2 linked regions of the Mus musculus genome follow. The protein of the gene in region 1 interacts with the protein of each later gene in a pairwise test. Links are inferred from orthologs where the notes say so. Each region holds a gene or a part of one and is shown on either strand. Other genes may lie near its edges.

Region 1 (5,677 bases):
AGCTTGCCGCCAAAACTCATGACCTGAGTTTGATCCCCAGAACCTATGTAGAGGTGGCAGGGGAGATCAGATGGACAGACCTGTCCTCTGCCCTTCATGCATGCCTGCGTCACACAATAACAATAACAACAATAATAATAAATAATGATACTACTTCTAATAATAATGATGATGATAATAATAAGTTGTTATTATTATTATTTAACAAGAAAAACATCCCACGGCACACTGTGCATCTTAAAAACATACAGTTCTCAACTGCGTGGGTAAGTCTGGGGTGACGGCTCAGTCAGTGAAGTGCTTGCCTTGCAAGCCGGAGGATCTGCATTTGGCTCCCCGACACCCACTTAAAAAGGCAGGTGCAGTGGCGGGACCTGTGAGTCAGAGACAAGCGATTTGTAGAGTCAGCAAGTCCAGCCAATCAGGGTTCAGTAAGAGACCCTGTCTCAAAACATCAAATAACTCTCAACGGAGGAAGATGTTCAACACTGTGCCATGGCTTCTCTGTGCTCTCACGAGGGCTCATGCACACTCACACAGATGTGCACATGTGTGTCACACATATGTAAGGCCCTGCGGGGTGGAGGCCCACACTTGAATCCCAGCGCTGAGGAAGCAGAAACACATTCTTCTGGGACTCACTGGAAGCCAGCAGAGTGGACTTCGTGGGTTGCGGCCAATGAGAGATCCTGTCTCAAAACTCAGGGGCCGGGCGGTGGTGGCGCACACCTTTAATCCCAGCACTTGGGAGGCAGAGGCAGGCGGATTTCTGAGTTCAAGGCCAGCCTGGTCTACAGAGTGAGTTCTAGGACAGCCAGGGCTATACAGAGAAACCCTGTCTTGAAAAAAACAAAAAATAAAAATAAAAAAAAATCAGGCTGGGGACCAGGGAGATGATATTTGCCAGAAAGCTTGGTGACCTGGGGTTCAATGCCCAGGACTCACATGGTGGAGGGACAGGAGGGACAAAACAGACTCCTACCATGTCTTTATACTATGGCTGGTGGCCTGGCTCCTGTACCAAACCCCCTGAGGACAGAAAGGGACCCTGGTCCTAACTCCTATTTAGGGATCACGGGACCCAGGAGCCTTTTTTTGGCCTCTCAGACCCCCAGTAGCCTCCTGTCCAGCACACACATGTGCTGAGCTCTGGGGACGCTGGCCAGGAGGCCATGGGCTCAGGTCTACCGAATCCTGCGGCCTTTGATGTGGAGCCAAAGGAGACCCTACAGCCCCCCAAACACCCTGTGCTCTCGGCAGCCTCCGAGACAGACACACCCTCTCTGGGTGCTCCCTGTTAGGACTTGTCATCCCCACCCCCAGTTCACCCCATGAGCAGACAGCCCTGGCACCAGGTGCAGAGCCCTCATGAGTGCCCTCAGGGCGGGCGCGGCCCACACCCGCACCATCTGGTCTTCTGGGGGAGGTCCTGTAGAGGCAGATACCCAGGGTATGCAGCAAACCTCACCTCTAGGTTGGGTAACATGGTTTCCCCTCCCAGCCGTGCCCATGGCCCCCACTACTTTTTCCTCTCTGTGCTTCAGCTTTCCCTTCTATAAAATGGGCTGGCAGTCAACTGCCCTCGGATGCTTGGTGTTACAGTGAGAAGCCTTTGTCTTAAGGTTTGAAAAGACCACGTCACCAGGACAGACTGCTAATAAAGGCCCTACCCTGTGGCCAGCTTCTGTTCAAATCCTTACTGGCTGCAGAGCCTCCTCTACCCTGGGCCTCAGTTTCTTCATCTGGAAAGTGGGTGTGATGATGTGAGCTGACCTCAGAGATGCTTCAAGGATGAAGTGGGGGAAGGGACTGCAACAGCTTGAGTTTCACAGACTGTCCTGGGAGCATTTCAGCGGAGAGCAAGTCCCGAAGAGAAGAGTGGGGGGTAGGGCGGCGACCTCAGCCACGCCCAGAATAGCCTTCTGTTTAGCCTTCTCCTGCCTTTCTCCCCTTCTTTCCAATGTCTTGTTAAGTGTGCTTGGGCAAGATGTGCAGTCCTGGCCCAGGCAGGGGTGGCTAAGGGCATAGCCTGTGCTCTCCCCTCACAGGCTTCCGAGTGCCCCACTCTTCTGCTGTTGCAGGCTTCACTGTGGACACCCATGGGTGGGTGGGGGGGTCCTGGGTGGCCCAGGGTAGAGGAGGCTGTGCAGCCACTGGGGCACCTGAGTGGAGAGGGGCTGGGCCTCCGGGGCAGGGCAGGTGCTGACTCATGGGCTCGCCTGGCACTATAAAGGAACCAGCCCAGGGGCTTCCTGCTGCCTGCTGACCGAGCGAGCAAGGATGGCCCAAGGCGCGGTGATCCACGTGGCCCCCGAGCAGCCCACTCACGCCGTGTGTGTGGTGGGCACAGCGACCCCGCTGGATGTCCGCGGGTGAGAGGGGCAGAGATCCTGGGCCTGTGGGGGCAGTTTGGGGCAGGCAGGAGCTGGGCGCTGCTGGCCCAGCTCAGGTTCTGGGCAAGAGATCTGCTAGAGAGATAAGCCAGAGGTGTGGGGCCTATCGTGCCAATTAGTTCTCTGTGAGGTATAAATACAACTGCCTGGCACTCAATGCAAGGAATTACAGGGCTGCCTAACAAGGGAGAAACAGTCCCTGCTGTAGGCTGACGGTGGGGAGGGCTTGGGCAGCTGGGCCTGATTTACCTTACCTCATGAAATGACTTTAAGGATTAAGTGTGGCAACTCCAAATGTGTTTGTTAAGCACTCTATGGTGCTGTTTGTTAAGTACTCCATGGTGCTGTTTGTTAAGTACTCTGAGGTGCTGTTTGTTAGGTACTCCACAGTGCTGTTTGTTAGGTATTCCGTGGTGTTGTTTGTTAAATACTCTGAGGTACTGTTTGTTAGGTACTCTGTACAGTACTGGGCAGATCAGATCCCCAACAGTTCATTTGTTGTTCATTTTTTCCATTCCCTTGTACATTCAACAAATATAACCTGAGTACTTACTGAGCACTGTGACCTCTGCCAGGTTCCGGGTCACCTAGGACAATGGAGGAAGCCTCGTGGGTGGAGTCTGATGCAGCCTTTCATGTGGGAATTGCAGCAGCTTCCCCCACAGAGCTGGGCATCGTGACCCAAGTGATGTCCATAAAGGCCTCTGGGAGGTGCCCAGGGTCAGTGGGTCAGTGACTGTCTGACCCCAGCAGCAGGAAAGCACTGGCGGTCTGGGTGGCTCACAGGCCACTGGTGAGAGGCTGAGGACACAAGGAAGGGAAAGCCTGGTATCATCAGAGGCGCCCACTCCCAGAGGACAAGCTGCTTGAAAGTGGGTGCCGAGTAGAGGCCAGAGGCCAGAGCTAGCCCAGCATCCTCGCCAGGATCCCAGGCTAGCTCTCGCCTTAAGTCTAGGTCACAAGTGCTCTTATTGTCTGTAGATGCAGGGGTGTGTGGGAGCCTGCGGAGGCCAGGACAAACTCAGGTGTCATTCCTCAGGCTCTGTGTACCGAGGTCGGCAGCCAGCCTGTGGGAGTCAGCTCTCCTCTCACCATGTGAGCTCCAGGACTCAGGTCGGCAGGCTTGGCAGCAGGCGCCTTTGTCCACCGAGCCATCTTGCTGATCCTGATGGAGGTTTTCAAATGGGGAGATCTGAGCATTTGATCAGACAGGGGTGTTGATGAAAATGTGGGTGTTTGTCCCCCGGGAAGAGCCAAGACTGGGGCATGTCCCGTCCGTGAGAAGGGAATACAAGAATGGGAGGGCTGTACTGCGGGGGGTAGAGGGGGACAGCAGCTTGTGCCGCTTGCATGAGGTCTTGGAAGAACTTCTGCCCTTCTCAGGGCATGGGCTCAACCTGCCTTTGCCTCCCAGCTCTGGGAGCAAGCCTGCACCCCCGCGCTTAGCACACGGTTCTGGGGCGCAAACTCGAGTCCTGGGCCTTTCATAGAGCCACACCAGGATCTGACATAAATAAGTAAATAGACAGACCGACAATAAATCATTTTAACTGCCCCTCCCAGGCAGTGCTATATGAGCAAGCCCCTAAACAGGGCTACCAAGCTCTGTGGCCCTGTCAGGGACTCAGGCCTAACCCCACAAGCATGGGGACCAGGGGACAAAGAAGAGGCCACCTGTGGTTTGAGAGGCCCCAGGTGACACTAGAAGGTGTTGTGTTCACAATGGGAACCCCAGCCTATGCTGGGGGTAAATGAGTGCCGTGAATTAGGTAGATAATTTCTCCGTGGCTACGCATGTACACACGCACATGGGGGCGGGGCACCTGCATGTGCAGGGAGGGCCAGACCTTGTGCATAGTGGTTTTCTGGTTTGTTGAGTGAGTGAAAGGAAGTTGGCCCTCAGTCACTCTGGGATCTTTTTACAGGAATGGCAGGGATAGGGGTAGGGGGAATATACTCGAAATCAAAACCCTTTTCTGGTCATTCTGTGTTGTCTCCCCAGGGCAGGCTCCAAACCATCCCCACCCAGCCTTTTCCCACAGTCCTCCAGGAAAGTCCGGCCTCTGTGCCACGTAGCTCTCTGATCCTTGAGTGCGGTGTGGAGCCAAAAGATGGGCGTGAGGAAAAGAGAAAGGACAGAGAATGTTCCAGGAATCAGGCTTCTCCACACCTGTTCTGGAACCCTCCTCCTCGCTGGCCTCGCTGTGACTGTCACTGTCACTCCTCCACACTGGCTTTCCTTCTTTTTTTTTTTTTTTTTTGTTTGTTTCTTGGTTTGTTTGTTTGTTTGTTTTTTCGAGACAGGATTTCTCTGTGTAGCCTTGGCTGTCCTGGAACTCACTTTGTAGACCAGGCTGGCCTCGAACTCAGAAATCCACCTGCCTCTGCCTCCCAAGTGCTGGGATTAAAGGCGTGCGCCACCACACTGGCTTTCCATTACCCCGGTGCTGTGTGTCCCGACTGTGGCTGACCCAAGCCTGCAACTCCTCCTTGCCCCCCACCTCACAGCTTCTTCACCTCAGAGTCTCTTGAGAAAGAAACCTGGGCTCTTCCCTCTGTCCAGCAGGTTCTGTTGACTTGGAAACAATTCCACTTGCCTCATAAAAAAAAAAAATCATGATAAAATAAGATAAAATGCAGGTTTTCTCAGCCACTGGCTTCATCATGCCTTGCTGAGCCTGGGTTTCCAGTCCCTCAGCTTCTGCTCAGTTGGGTAACTCAGCAGCTCCGGTCAGTAGCTTCCTGGGTGTGGTTCTCACGCCTGAGGGTGCACAGAGCACCCGGGAGACCTGAGGAAGCTCAGACCTCTGGGCTCCACCCCCAAGTCTGCAGCAGCCTTGGAAACTGGTTGTGCCCAGTTTCCCGGGAGGTTGAGGCTGCTGGCCTTGAGTCAAGGAGTGTACATTGGCTATAGCAGGTCTCTGGGGAGAATATATATATATATATTATAATATATACATATATTACAATATGTAATATAATATATATTATAATATATAATATGTTACATATATTATGTACTATATATATATATATATATATATATATATATATATATATATATGAATGAATAGGAGAGAGAGATGTGTCCTTGGGGACAATCCTTCTCCTATGCTCACTCAGCAATGCCCTCCTACCGGGACCAGCAGGCTGTTCTTCAGTGAAGAGGGGGAAGGACTAAGGACAGGAGATGAGAAAATAAAGGAGATAGCAGAGCTGAGACCAGAAGTCCATGCCTAAGCTGAGGACCAATGCTAAGCACGTTTGTTACAAAGTACAGCAGC
Region 2 (5,580 bases), on another chromosome or scaffold:
TACTGAAACCTGGGCGTGACATAGATGAGTTCCCTCCCCTAAGGAACTCCTCCCAATCAAGCCTGCTGCTGATCTGACTCTCCTAAGGTATGCCATCCAGGAGGGTGCCTGACACAGGTCGGGACAGGCAGGATGCAGTGAGAACATGGCAGCCAGCGTCTGTTAAGTAACTTGGCCATTTGTTCTGGGCTTGAAATCTAACAGATATGTGTATTTATTTTGGTATTTAAAAATGTGTATGGGTGTTTTTGTCTGTATGCATGCATGCCTGTGCACCACTTGCATGCCTGATGCCCATGGAGACCAGAGGAGATTGTTAGATCTCTTGGAACTGGAGTTAAAGATGGTTGTGAACCACCATGTGGGTGCTGGGAATTGAACCTGGGATCCTCTAGAAGAGCAGTCTGTGCTCTTTTCATTCATTTATATATATATATTCTTCGAGACAGGGCTTTTCTGTGTAGCCCTGGCTGTCCTGGAACTCACTCTGTAGACCAGGCTGACCTTGAACTCAGAAATCTGCCTGCCTCTGCCTCCCAAGGGCTGGGATCAAAGGCGTGCGCCACCACTGCCTGGCGCTCTTCTCATATTTATAAAAAAATTATTGTTTTACTTTATGTATACAAGTACTTTGTCTGCAAGTGTGCAGGTACATCATGTGTGTGCCTGGTGGTGCCTAATTTTGATATCTTTAGTGTGAAGTCTGAGTCCTTAAGTTGAACAGCTCTATTCATTGTTTTGTCGCTCTGGGTTAGATCAGGTCCCCAGAAGTAAGACAAGATGCAGATGCCCTGTTAGTGCACTCCTGGGCATTCCCAGGAGAGCCTGCCATCTGTTGGAAGAAGTCGCATGTCACCTGTCAGAGCTCAGAAAGAGTCAAGACTCCTACTGGAGGTCAGCCCTTCCCTGATCCCAGACCTCAGATCCCAGATGAGCCTGGGTCAGATGGAGTCCTGGCCTTTGTTTCCCATAAAAGACTCAGGTGGGGACTAGCACTGAGTCTTCCCCGAAGACAGGTCTTCAATTCCCAGCAGCCAAGGGATCCTATGCTGGTGTGTAGACATACAGACAGACAAAAATCTGTACACATAAAATAAGTAAAATGCACACGTATTTATATGTAATAGTAAAAGCCTCTGTCTGTGGCTTCCCTACCTGGGCTAGGGCAGACTTTGGGAGAAGTGACATCAGAGGCCTGTGGCCTGGTTGCACTTGCTATAAAGATCAGCTTAGCTGTGGGCTAACTACAGTTCCTAGACACTAACCTTTATCCACCCCCCACCCCACCTCCCCTGCATGTAATTACTTTTAAAAGGATACAATAGTCTTGAATCTTCATTTTGTCCTTCCTATTACCATGATTAATTTTGTCTTCCCTTGTGGAAGCTTAGAAACATATAGACTTTGGAACATGAAAAAACAGGCCCAAGTCTAGATCAGCCTTCCTCCTCCTGACCCCCTCAGCCTTCCTCCTCCTGACCACACAATAAGCCACCTCCTCTAGCTACAGTTGCTGATACAATTTAAAATAATGACCACCTAGGTTTTGGTTGGCTAGAGAGCAAACACTGCCCAAAGCGACCCATTCTTTGTTAAATGAAATTGGAGGTTGCCTGTGGAGCCTCTGTTGCCTGCACCTGCCTCTGTTCTTCAAGCATTCATTATCCTTGTAGCAAGAGGCATGTGCCTCCGTGTCCAGCAAGGAGCCAGAACCAGGCTGGCTAGCAACCAAGAAATGCTTCAGTTGGAAGTTTAGTGGGAAACCCAGAGTTGCTTCTAACCCCGGTCCCAACGGTGACCTGTACCTGTCTCCGAGAACCCTTCCCCTGACTTTGAGGATTGCATCTGTCTTCTTTAAGGGAGGCGTGCAACTGCTGAGAATTTTCTGGAACGTATGTTATAATGTGAAAGGAGGACATGGACTGTGTCCTCAGATGTCACGTTCTGATTTTTCAAGTTACACTCTAGACTGGAGCGCCGAGGCCCCAAGTACGTTGTGCGACCCCAGCAGGACGCGAGGCTGAGACCCTGGGAGTCTGGTTGTGCAGGGTCAGGGTCCTGAGTGGGCTCGCTGTCCTCAGTGGGGTTAAAGGCCGAGTGCGTGATCTGCCTCAGGCCCCTCCTGGTGCTGGGGGCGATTCTCGTGCTCTAGCTGCGCTTCTCCGGGGAGGGACTTTCCTGTGGGCAAAGGGACAACCAGGAACTTGGGCTCAGTCTCCACCCCGAGACTGGGCGGGTCCTATCGGCCGGGACGAGGGTGTGGCATTCGCCGTAGTCTAGAGCCTTTCTCCGCACCAGAGGTAAGGGGCTTAGGGCAGTGGTCCGGACCTCCGCCGCGGGCTCTGGGGTCTGGGTGTGGGTCCTAGGCTCCGGGCAGGTGTCCTAGGCTCGGACCTGGAGATCTAGACTTCATTTGGGGAATCCTAGGCTGGGTCGCAGCTGGGGCCTGGAAACCTGAACTTAACCTCGGGATCCTGGGCTCGCCCGCTGTCCTAGGCTTGGACCTGGGAATCTTGGGCTCCTGCCGGTTGTCCTAGACTGTGGCTGGGGATCTTGGGCTCAGGGACCGGGTGCTGTGACCAGAGGCGGGTTCTTTGGGCCACTTGGCTCCGCGCCCTGGAAGCGTGAGGTCCCGGACCGGAGCAGCCACCTGGGAAACGTGGGGAGGAGCAGGCAGTGCCGCACGGTGCACAGCACTCCTGCAGTCCTTTGCTGAGTCAAAGCCCCCCCGGGACTCCGCACTGAGGATAAGCCACTGAGTTAACATTCTCTGAAGCTCACTCCAGCACTACTTGTGTTGCCTTTTCTTTTTGCAAGTAAGTTTGCTTTCTCGTCTTCTTAGGGCGCTCCTCGCCTCTCTTGTAGCGAACGGTCTCCACACAGTGCCTGGCGCCCAGGAATCATCTTATTCTTAGTTTTTATTCTGTGTCTGCCTGTGTCTACATTTTAACTTAGTCCTCGGTGCTTTGACCAGTTGGAGACTTTGGCGCCTAAGACAATTGGCGGTTTAACACTTTGCTGGCTCAATGTGCACCTCAAGGGTATGAAAGCCTCCATTTACTGGAGGAGCACTCTGGGCCTTAAGCAACTGCGCCTTTCATTAAAACTGGGCACTTTAGTGGATGGTGGAAGGATGGATAGGATGGCCGGTTGTTACCTATCCCTCTGCCCATCATTCCCAGACTCACTGTTTCCTTAGGTGGGAAGCAACTCCATTTATGGCCGTGAGTCCCTAGAGAACGGAGGAGAGAAGAACAAGAAGAGAGGACCAGGCATATATTCAGTTGATAGCGTGCCCCCAGCACACCAGAAGCCTTGGGTTTTATCCTTGGCTCCAAATAAATCAGGTGTACGTTTGCCTTTGAGGACAGTTTGGAGAAAATGACAGTCCCAACCCAAGCAACACCCTTTTGGAAGCTTCCCGTTTTAGATTTAAAAGGAATAGAATCTCATACTTCAGGACAATCGGTAGTTCAGGGTAATATTGGAGGGTAGTCTGGACTATTCGAGATCTGGCCTTCAAAAAAAGAAAGACCCAGCCAACAAAAAACCAAAACCAACACAAGAGTAGTAGGTAGGGGCTGGAGGTCTTGGTTCAAGAACACTCGATGCTCCCAGTACCCACTCCAGATGGCTCCCAACTGCCTGAAGCTCCAGATCCAGGGTGTCTGACACCCCATTGTGGGCTTGGAGAACACACACACACACACACACACACACACACAATTAATTAATTTAATGCTTTTGTAAAGAGTGTGCAGGAGAGGTTGAAAACTAGATTGAGATTACCACAGCCACTTGAGAGCCACTAACTTCAGTGATGGCCATTTTGCCAAAGCCAGTCAACTCAGCTTTCTGTTGATTTCAGGGCACACACACACACACACACACACACACACATGTACACTCACCCAGTGGTCCTAGAGACACAGAGCTATTAGGGAAAGGGTGATGATTTCCTCCTAGCTGGAGTCCCTGCTTTGGTCAGGGATCTTCTTTTTCTCTGAAAGCAGTCTGGAGATTAACAGGTCAAGCTGTGCCTGCCAGCCATCAGTACCCACAGGGTGAGCCTCTTGGTCCTCCCTCAGCCATCAGTGCCCACAGGGCAAGCCTCTTGGTCCTACAGCCCTACATCCCAGGGCACATTGCTTTGTCTGTGACCAGCCAATCCTTTCTTTTCCTGATCTTGCTTGCATAGTTGTAGGCTACCCTGATCCTCTCCAAGAGAGAGCAAGGTGAGGGGTCTGCACTGGAGATGGGTCATGTGTCAGGGAATGGGGGAAGCTACAGAGTGAGTAAGCAGATTTTTCTTTAAGTGTCAGTTTCACCCAATTACTCAACTAAAACCATGTTTTACATTTAAATTGTAGGGAAAATTGGGAGGAGAGCCCTTAAAAGTGTATTCTTTATTTTATCTTCGAATTTGAGATAGGGTCTAAGGTAGCCCAGGCTGGCCTCAAACTTCCTGTATAGCCAAGGATGTACTCGAACTTCTGATCCTATTGTCTCTGCTCCTGAATGCTGGGATTATAGATTATAGATTATTATAGATTATAGATGTAAGGAACCATGCCTAAGCTTATGGAGTGCAGAGGATCCAACCCAGGGCCTTGTGCAGGCTAGGTAACTCTCCCAACTGAGCTACGTCTCTAGCCACCAAAATTACATACCTTTTAAGCTTTTTTTTTCAAAGAGGTGTTGCTTGGGTTTGGGGCTGCCATTTTCTCCAAACCTTGGTGGTTTGTTCTCTTGCAGTATGGAGGGAGTTTAACAGGCACTGAGATGGTCTCCTCAGAGTGTCTTTGAGTAGTGATCAGCTTAATCACATTATTCTAATTCTCCTCAGCCTGGAATGGGCTCATAACCTGGTCCAGTTGAAGATGCAAGGCTTCAAGTCCCGGCCCTCCAAAGTGAGGTGAGGCTCAAGTCCAACTGAGACTCTGGACTTGGTTCACAGTGAGCTGTGGATTCCTGGCTTCTTAACAGAGTCTTGATCTGTGTTTTTCTTTTTGCTTCAACGTTCTCCGTGGCAACGTGCCATGTGAAATAGAGTTGACCGAGGTAGAGCCGGGATGAGAATGTAACTCTGCTGGTAGATTGCTTGCCTAAGATCACAAGACCAGTGGTTCAATCCCCAGCATCCCCTGCCTCAACAGAAACCTGAAGCTTTTTTGATCAGAAAAGGGAAGCTGTAGTGTGTGCGTGTGGGGGTAGGAATCAATGGCTCTTAAATTCCTGAAGGGCTTGGCATGTGGGCTTGGGAATGAGTAACTCCTTATGATAACGGGTATTTGCTCATTGAACTTGAGAAAGTGGCTTTTGGGACGCATAGGGAGGGTGTTAGAGCTGCTGAGAGTTCTCACTGCAGAAAAGGCCTGGGCAGAGGCTCTGTAGAACTGTACTGATAAAGCTATAAAAGATTCCTAATACTTCCTCAAACGTCAGGGTTCATCAAGCTCCCCTAGAAAGTCTAAATACTACTTAGATCCTTGCCCCATTCTTGTTTGCCTGTTTCTAAGACAACAGCCCTGACTCTCCTGGAACTCACTATGCAGACCAGGTTGACCTAGAACTCATAGA

What was found.
Region 2: the proteins of Padi4 (region 1) and Anxa4 interact in binary tests that used the Homo sapiens proteins (3 or more experiments, as listed by UniProt). The two-hybrid records come from large-scale screens. The link is inferred for Mus musculus from reciprocal best matches to the Homo sapiens genes PADI4 and ANXA4.

Annotation. Positions count from the first base shown.
Region 1 is NC_000070.6:140,770,784-140,776,460, reverse strand, and holds the start of Padi4 (protein-arginine deiminase type-4), read left to right. Parts: upstream 1-2,257; 5' UTR 2,258-2,280; coding exon 2,281-2,372; intron 2,373-5,677. UniProt on the Homo sapiens protein: Catalyzes the citrullination/deimination of arginine residues of proteins such as histones, thereby playing a key role in histone code and regulation of stem cell maintenance.
Region 2 is NC_000072.6:86,790,229-86,795,808, reverse strand, and holds the start of Anxa4 (annexin A4), read left to right. Parts: upstream 1-2,224; 5' UTR 2,225-2,300; intron 2,301-4,849; exon of another isoform or gene 4,850-4,915; intron 4,916-5,580. UniProt on the Homo sapiens protein: Calcium/phospholipid-binding protein which promotes membrane fusion and is involved in exocytosis.